2 linked regions of the Ovis aries genome follow. The protein of the gene in region 1 purifies or fractionates together with the protein of each later gene. This does not show direct contact. Links are inferred from orthologs where the notes say so. Each region holds a gene or a part of one and is shown on either strand. Other genes may lie near its edges. The genes, in order: KLF6 and SP1.

What was found.
Region 2: the proteins of KLF6 (region 1) and SP1 purify together in Homo sapiens (affinity purification with western blotting, with the first as the bait; 3 studies listed by BioGRID). This does not show direct contact. The link is inferred for Ovis aries from reciprocal best matches to the Homo sapiens genes KLF6 and SP1.

What each region holds. Positions count from the first base shown.
Region 1 is NC_056066.1:44,181,097-44,185,401, forward strand, and holds the start of KLF6 (Krueppel-like factor 6), read left to right. Parts: upstream 1-1,276; 5' UTR 1,277-1,383; coding exon 1,384-1,587; intron 1,588-4,305.
Region 2 is NC_056056.1:133,122,286-133,126,095, reverse strand, and holds part of SP1 (transcription factor Sp1), read left to right. Parts: coding exon 1-449; intron 450-3,810. UniProt on the Homo sapiens protein: Transcription factor that can activate or repress transcription in response to physiological and pathological stimuli.

The sequences.
Region 1 (4,305 bases):
GATGGGGGACCCTACTAAGATTGGTTATAGGCTCCCTCTATTTATAACCCCACCTGCCCCAACAAGATGCCCTCTTTTTAAAAATAAAAATGTGTTCGGGAGAATCAAGAGTGCACATAACCCCCTCAAGAGCCAGGAGATCCAACTTGGGTCTTCCAGGCTACTCTGCTCCTGCAGGTTAGGCAGGCAGCGGGGGTGAGGATGTGGCACCGCCGTGGTCCCCCAGGTAAGTGCCCTGTCCTTGTGAGGGAGGCTGAAGGGGGAAACTCAGATTCATATACAACACAGCCCTGCGACTAGGGCCCTCCTGTCCCTCAGCACACCTGCAGGGCTGGTCAGCCCCCCACTCCGGGGTCACAGGTGCCACCTGGGGACAGAGGGGGATGGAACGGGGAGGGAGGGGGACACAGCGCGGGTGGTGGGTGCAGATGGAAACGGGGCAGGTACAGAGGGATAATGGAGCGAAAAGGAGGGGGGAAAGAGGGTGACAGACGGGGATGGAGACGGGAATCTACAGCTGGGCAGGAGGGGGCACCGAGAGGGTGGAAGGACGGAGGGGGATAGAGAACGGCCGGCCAGCCCGAGGTCGGAGCGAGGGACAGAGGAGACCCAGCCGCGCTCCCCTCAGCTCGGCGGAGGGTCAGGGGACCAGGGCCCGGGCGACAGACCCGACGAACGTGGACCAGGGCTGAGGGGACAAGGACGGGGACACGACGACGGGGAAACCAAGGCCGGGCCCGGGCGATGAGCCCGACGGACGGGGACCAGGGCTTCGGGGACGAGGGCTTCGGGGACGAGGGCTTCGGGGACGAGGACGGGAAGACCGGGGCCAGGACCGAGACCGGGACGAGAAGGGCAGGGACACCGGGTCCCCTCGGCCCGACCGGCCGCGGCGCACGCAGCCTCTCGGCCGCGCACCTCCCAGCTCCGACTCCTCCGGCGCGAGACAGCCCGCGCCTTATATACCCTGCTAAAAATAGCCTGCGAAACCGCCTCCCAATCAGAACCGGCCGAAGTTCGAATTCTGCCAATGGCGAAGGCGGTGATGGAGAGGCTCGGTCACGCCAGGCGGGGCCGCGGTGAGCCGCCGCCCGCGATTGGCCGGAGCTGACATCATCGCCGCGCAGCCCCCGGGCCGGGAGCGGCGTGATTGGGCGGCGCGCGGGGCGGGCGCGGGCGAGTCACGTGGGGAGGCGGCGGCGGGGGGAGCTGGGCGGGGAGGAGGGGAGGCTGGCAGCGGAGCTTTGAATAGGGAAGTTTTGCAGGGGTTACGTTTGCAGTCAGTCCGGTGTTTGCAAATATTGTGCGGGCTCGCGAGCGCGTCTCCGGGCTCCGGCCAGGACCCGAACCCGTGGCGCCTAATCGCTGCCCACTTGAGTTTGCATGAACTTCCCCGGCGCTGCAGGCACGGCCGCCGCGCTCCCGACTGCAGACTGCACGCCTCCCTGTTTTTACAGCAGCGGGGACGGTCTCTTCCAACCCGACATGGATGTGCTCCCAATGTGCAGCATCTTCCAGGAACTCCAGATTGTGCACGAGACTGGTTACTTCTCGGCGCTGCCCTCCCTGGAGGAATATTGGCAACAGGTAAATAAGGATTTTCGTGAGCCAGGTGTCCCGGTGCGCCGAGCATGGAGTGCGTGCATGCACCCGCAGGACGGTGTGAGCTTGGAGGTGCAGTTCTTTTTCTTCTTTTTTTAATGGTTTGGGTAAATTTTTAAAAAAAAATTAAAATAATTATTGTTAAAACGTACTTTTGCCTCCGGCGCAGAAGGCACTTTAAAGGGGCCTTTCAGAGCGTGGAGCGGAGTTGTCATCTGAGTGGGGCGCAGCGGCGCCGGGCGCTCCCCGTGTTCTTGCTGTTTTCTGGGGCTGCTGAACCGTCTCCCGAGCGTAGACCCAGCTCCGCGGCCTGATCTCGGCCCCAGCCCTTGGCAGAAGTTTGGTGCTTGTTCCAGCTCCAGGCTCTCCACAGCTGGACCTGGTCATATGAACCCGCATGTACTGCCAAGGCTATTTTTTCTTCTTCTTCTTCTTCTTTTTTTTTTTTTTTTTTAGGGATTTTGTTTTCGTTTTGCTTTTTTGGTGTTTGTACATACAGGTTTTTCTTTCTTTCTTTTTTTTACTTAAGAATTTCACCAGCGAAACACCCACAAGCTCCTTTTCTCTACCAGGCCATTTTTAGTTTCTTTACCTTGGGAATCCTTAAGATTTGCCTCCATCTGCCTTGTTTTTCTTACCTGCTTCTTTTGTTGACCAGAAAAAAAAAAGGGGGGGGGACCAATGTTTGCACAACCAGTGACTTATCAGTCATATGACAATGAGCCTGTCCGAATTGCTTCTAGTCTCAGTTTGGGAAGAGGAGTCTGTTTGCGGCATTTTTTAGTGGAATTGGAATTTGGGGCATTGGACATTTGAAAAACTCAATTTTTCCCCCTTCTCCTGCATTAGGATTGCCTGAAAGGAGAGAGATTCTGACACTTGTCCCATTGTCTTTAAAAGATAGGAGGGTTTTGGGGTTGTCTCTGCCCTACTAGGCTGTTTGCTTTTTGTCACAAAGTGAATTAGCAGATCGCATATATTCTGTGGGTTTCAAAGCTTAGAAGGCTTTTAAGGGGGATGAAATACAAAGTGGAACAACCTTCACATGCCTGCCTCATTGTTCACAGCCCTCCCTTCCCTCTCCCCTCCCAGCTTTTCCTACTAAAGAAGCTTCCTAGGATGTGATTGAAATCGATCTAAGTAGTTTCCTTGGGCATTTGGGATTTGGGCCACAAGCCAGGCTGAGCTCTGGGTTGCCTTCAGAGGCTTTTAAACTCTCCCCAAGAGCTTCATTCTGGTCCCCAGTGCTCCTAGGCATAATGGGGATTTTAAATTAGCCAGATTATTAAAGTTTAACAAGGTCTCAGTAAACATGCTTTCCTTTTTCTTTGGAACATCCATAAGATACCTTGCCAGTCTCTCCTCAGAACACTGGAGGGTGCTTTGTAACCTAGACGTCTAATTTTAGGGGTAACAAGAAAACAATGATTGTTTTTTCCCCCCTCTGCTTGCTCCTGCTTGCGGTGTGAAGAGTCTGGTAGGGGGAGGGGGGAAGGATATATTCTGATTGCAGACACCCTGCTAAATAAGCAAGGCTGAGCCCTTTGGGTGGGCTTGGCTAGCCCTGAAAATGATTTGCTTAAAAAAGAGAGTGGCGTTTGCTGTAGCAATGTAAATCTGTAGACTTGCAGTTGTATAGACAACCTTATATGGACATGTAGGCAGTTGATCCTAGTGAAGATAAGGCAGACATAATTTAATCCTAAAATGTTTCCTACCGTTTTTCTTTTCCAGTGGCTAGAAAGTTTGAGATGGTGGGGAGAGGGGATGCTGGTGTCTCGGCAGTTGTAGCTTCTGGAAAGGTTGGTTGTGGGGCTGGGGGGGGGCACTCTGTCCATGACACACTGCATGTATATTTGAACCGGGTCCTTTTTTTGGCCGCTGGTCAGAATTTCAAAAGGAAGTCTCCTTTGGCATTGCGTGAAAGAAATAGAGTGATGACTCATACAGTTGTACTCTTGGCCAGCAGATAAAGTTCTAGTCCACTGTGGGACTCCCAGCAGGGCCGGGAAAGGAATTTCCCCTCCCGCATCCTTTGCAAAAGCAGATGGCCATTCTGGAGCCATTTTTCCACTCCTGTTGTTGTTTTCCTCTGACCACTGTGGAAGTCATTTAAGTTGTGTGCGCACATGGCCCTGCACTTGGGAATGGCATTCTTTGAAAGCCTACTAAGGTCTGGGCTCCTCCACAGGAAACGGGTAGCTTCTGGGCAGCTCGGTTGATGTTCCTGACCCTAGACGTCCCCCTGGCTGCGTCTGCCCCGGCTGGGCGCGGCCTGTGCTGTCAGCGGTTCTCCAGAGGGGACGCATGGCCATGTCAGAGCTCACCGTGCTGCGGGCAGCAGGCCCGCAGAAGCAGGCTGCCTGGGTGTCCTTCATGCACAGGGTTCTGGAGGCTGTCTGATAATCTGGTTAAACCTGTTGGGTGGGGGTGGGGGTGTCGGAGGCTGGTGTCCTTTGTGTGGCTAACAGAAACTCATTAGAAACGTCAACACTGTAACTCTTAACAGAAGCCAGCTCCTCTGTGGCCATCAGCCATTCGTGGCCGTTGCGGTCCACCTCGGGAAAGCGGGGAGAGGCTTCGCCCTGGTTTTCCTTCTGAACGTGTCCCGTTCTTAGAGATAGCTCTCCTCTTGCTCTGCCACAGACACGGAGTCCTATAGTGGCAAGGCCACAGTTGATCTGCCCTTGGCTCCTGCATGTT
Region 2 (3,810 bases), on another chromosome or scaffold:
ACAGGCTCTTCAGGCCCTCCAAGCCGCCCCATTGTCAGGGCAGACCTTTACAACTCAAGCTATCTCCCAGGAAACCCTCCAGAACCTTCAGCTTCAGGCTGTTCCAAACTCTGGCCCCATCATCATCCGGACACCAACAGTGGGGCCCAATGGACAGGTCAGTTGGCAGACTCTTCAGCTGCAGAACCTCCAAGTTCAGAACCCACAAGCCCAGACAATCACCTTGGCCCCAATGCAGGGTGTTTCTTTGGGGCAGACCAGCAGCAGCAATACCACCCTTACACCTATTGCCTCAGCTGCCTCCATCCCTGCCGGCACAGTCACTGTGAATGCTGCTCAGCTCTCCTCCATGCCTGGCCTCCAGACCATTAACCTCAGTGCATTGGGTGCTTCAGGAATCCAGGTCCACCAGCTTCCAAGCCTGCCCTTGGCGATAGCAAATGCCTCAGGTAAGACTTGAAATCTTGTGCATTTATCTCTAGAGCTACTTAGCATCTCAGCTGAAACCACTGAGTCTAAAGAAGAGGGAGTAGAATCTTTTGAGGGCAGTGCTTCTGAGGGCAAGTCATTTAGAGAAATAGCAATGATTTTAAGTCATTTGGAGCTGACTTAATAAGAACTTTTTCCTCTTCAGTTAATCTGTCCAGAAAGGAGCATTTCTGGGCAGTGTCCTTGGGGTCTGTACTTTCAGTGCCTGGTACTACAGTACAAGAGTGGGCAAACTTTTTCTTTAAAGGGCCAGATAGTAAATATTTTAGGCCTTGTGGGCCACATAAGTTCTCAGTTATGTGTACTTTTTTGTTTCTGCAACCTTTTAAAAATATAAAATATTCTTACCTTGAGGGCTTTATTTGGCTTGAGGGTTCTTCTCTGCTGATAGGAATGGATTATAAACTTATCTGTAGGGTAGTTATTAAATCATCAGATATTTCTCACAAACTGTGAGAAAGCAGGGGAAAGCAGGGGAAAACTGATGGATTCCAAAGGACTTCAACAAACTAAGTTCCCTGGTTAATCTTTTAGTTAACCAGAAGAGCTACCCTTTGAGGTTTAATTTTTTCAACTCCTACTTAGCTTGAAAGTATTAATGTGTATTTTTAATAAGCTTCCTAGGTGATTTTCTTCTGTTTTGTTTCTTAAGCCTCCTAGGTAGTGATTCTAATACTTTCTAGATTAGAGAGCCACTTTCTAGACTGCTTTGAAACTAGTGTATGGTTGAAAGGTAGGAGAGAACAGAAGTGGGGCACAGAGTGGAGTGGGGAGATGGAATTGAGAGGAATTAGAAGTAAGAACTTTGAGGGGGAAAGAGAATTGTCAAGGAAGGGGATGTATATATTGGAATGTATGTTGAATCAGTTGACACTACTATTCAGTCATTTATTTTAAACTGTATTTTACTAGTATTGGTTAATTTGAAATTTAAAACCTCTATTTAAAACGGTGAGAATTTATTTAGAGTTTATCATTTTAAATTTCATGGTGATAGAACTAATCTTTAATGAAGCACGTTAGGATACATATGCATCTTTATATTCTGGCATGATATATAGAAATTATGATGAGAAGTTTAATACCACTGAACTTCTACTTCTGTTGGTGTATCTGTGGATTTGTTAATTGTTTACTTTTATTATAGAGTTCTCATTCTGTTTAGATTGGTTCTTATGTAAGAGAGGGTAACAAATAGGCAACCATATTTCCTGCTTCCTGCAGCTTAGGAAAATCTGTGGTGGGGAGTTCTGCTCAAGTTCACTGCTTTCTTACAGTCTTGTATGTTTAAAATTACTACATTTTGAGCCTTAACAGACAGAAATTTTGTTAGTGAATTGGAATTTTTAAAATAGAAGGTTAGAGCTGAAAGAGACCTTAGGAATCATCTCATACTCCTGCCTTATTTTCCCGATAAGGACTTTGAGATACTGGAAGCACGTATGTTATGAGACTACTCACTGTTAGTTCTAGTCTGGCGCATCCATTACCTATTAATTTTAACTTGGGACAAGAGATGTCATGTTTCAACTTGGGACATGCTTTAAATTGTTAAAAATCTTTTGGAAAATATATCTTTTGTTAGTTTGGAATTTAAGGCTAGAGAGCTGGCAAGTGTTTATAGACTAAAAATTATGTGAGTAGAAATAGGAAGAGTTTATAAAAACTGAACCTAACAGCTTTGAAAATTAGACACTTTCTGGGCAACCTACGTTTGTGTGTTTGTTTTCTCTTTGGTCTCAAGTTATTGAGATTGTTGCAGATAGTATTAATTTGGATCCTTGCAGTGTGTAAACGGTTGATAACTTGAGCTCCAAGGAACAGTTATGAGACACTTTCATTGCTAAATCATGGTCTGGGGAAGTCTGCCATTTACTTTGTCATAGGATAGGGCTACCTTCCTAGCTGTTATTGATGGTCTCTGAGCTCTAGAAAACGCATGCCTTTCTATAAGATAGTAGCAGCTTGACATTCACTAAGAAGAGAATGAAGCTCTGAAAGGCCATTTTGTGAGAGTTGAGATTGCTTTGTTAATAGTGGTTTTGAAGATATGTGTTTCCTCCTTTCTGGTTAGTCATAGTTGTGCAACATGTTTTCCCCTTCAATTGATCTGACTTCAGCCTTAATGAAAGATAATGCAGTCATTTCCTGGAAGCTTAGTGCTCTTTAGCTGTTGCCTGGCTGCTACAAAGTCTCTCATTTTACCCCTTTTTCTGGTATATAGTTATTTTATTAGAAAAATTCAGCCTCTTGGCAGTATGATGTAGTGGAAAGAGCGATTAATATGAGCTCATGTTGTAAGATAGGTAAGTAGATAGCATTCTGCAAAGGGAGCCATTATTTTTAAATGGTTGTGGAAGACTGCAGCTTCTGTGTCACTTAATAGATTTAGTCTTTTTTTTTTTGGCCCTACCGCATGGCTTCTTGTAGGATCCTAGTTCCCTAAATAGGGATTGAACCCTTACACCCCCACCTCCCACCTCTAGCAGTGAAATTGAAGAGTCCCAGCCACTGGACGGCCAGGGAATTTCCACATTTATTATTTTTAAAAGTCATCTTTTAAAACTTTTCTAAGTTCTCTTGTTGACTTTTATTATATTTATTTGTTAGTTTGAATATACAGGCAAAGGCACAAACTTAGACCCCAAATCAGCCACCCATCTCTGTATTCCTGTTTTTCACAGTTCTGCCACTGGTGGGTGATAGTGAAGTAGGGACCACCCGTGGAATGATCTATTGGCTCTTAGTTTTTGTTGTTATTTTTTAAGTGAGCAGCTTTTCCTTTTTTAAAAAATTAACACCCTGTCCCCTTTATCCTTGTATCAACACTCTTTTCCTCTCATTTGGTAGTTATACGCTCTGATCTCGGTTCTAGGTTTTTTGTGTTTTTTTTTTTTTTAAGCTTCAAGCTTCAGACTTTTTTCTCAGCCCTGGCTAAGTTCAAAAAACTCTTCCCCAAGGTTGAGGAGGGGCCAGTTTTGAAAGACTTAGTTTGGATGACTTCGTGGGAGTTCTGCCTAACAAAGAGTGCGGGACTGGGCTTTGGCAAGAGAATAAAACATATTTCCTTGATAGCTATAATTGACTCATGAAGCAAATTTCAGACACTAAAAATAAAAATTTCACATCTGCTTAGTTTTATTGGGGTCAGGAAAATGTCTCCTCTTAGAAGTTAAGTTGAATGCGATACCAGAGTTGGTCTGCCAACAGTGTCGCTAAACTTGGGGTCAGATTGCTGAGACCTATTTTGTTAACAGAGTTGTATTTTAGACTAGTTCATTTGAACATAAGTGTTAAGTGGGTTTAGTTGGTTTAAATGTG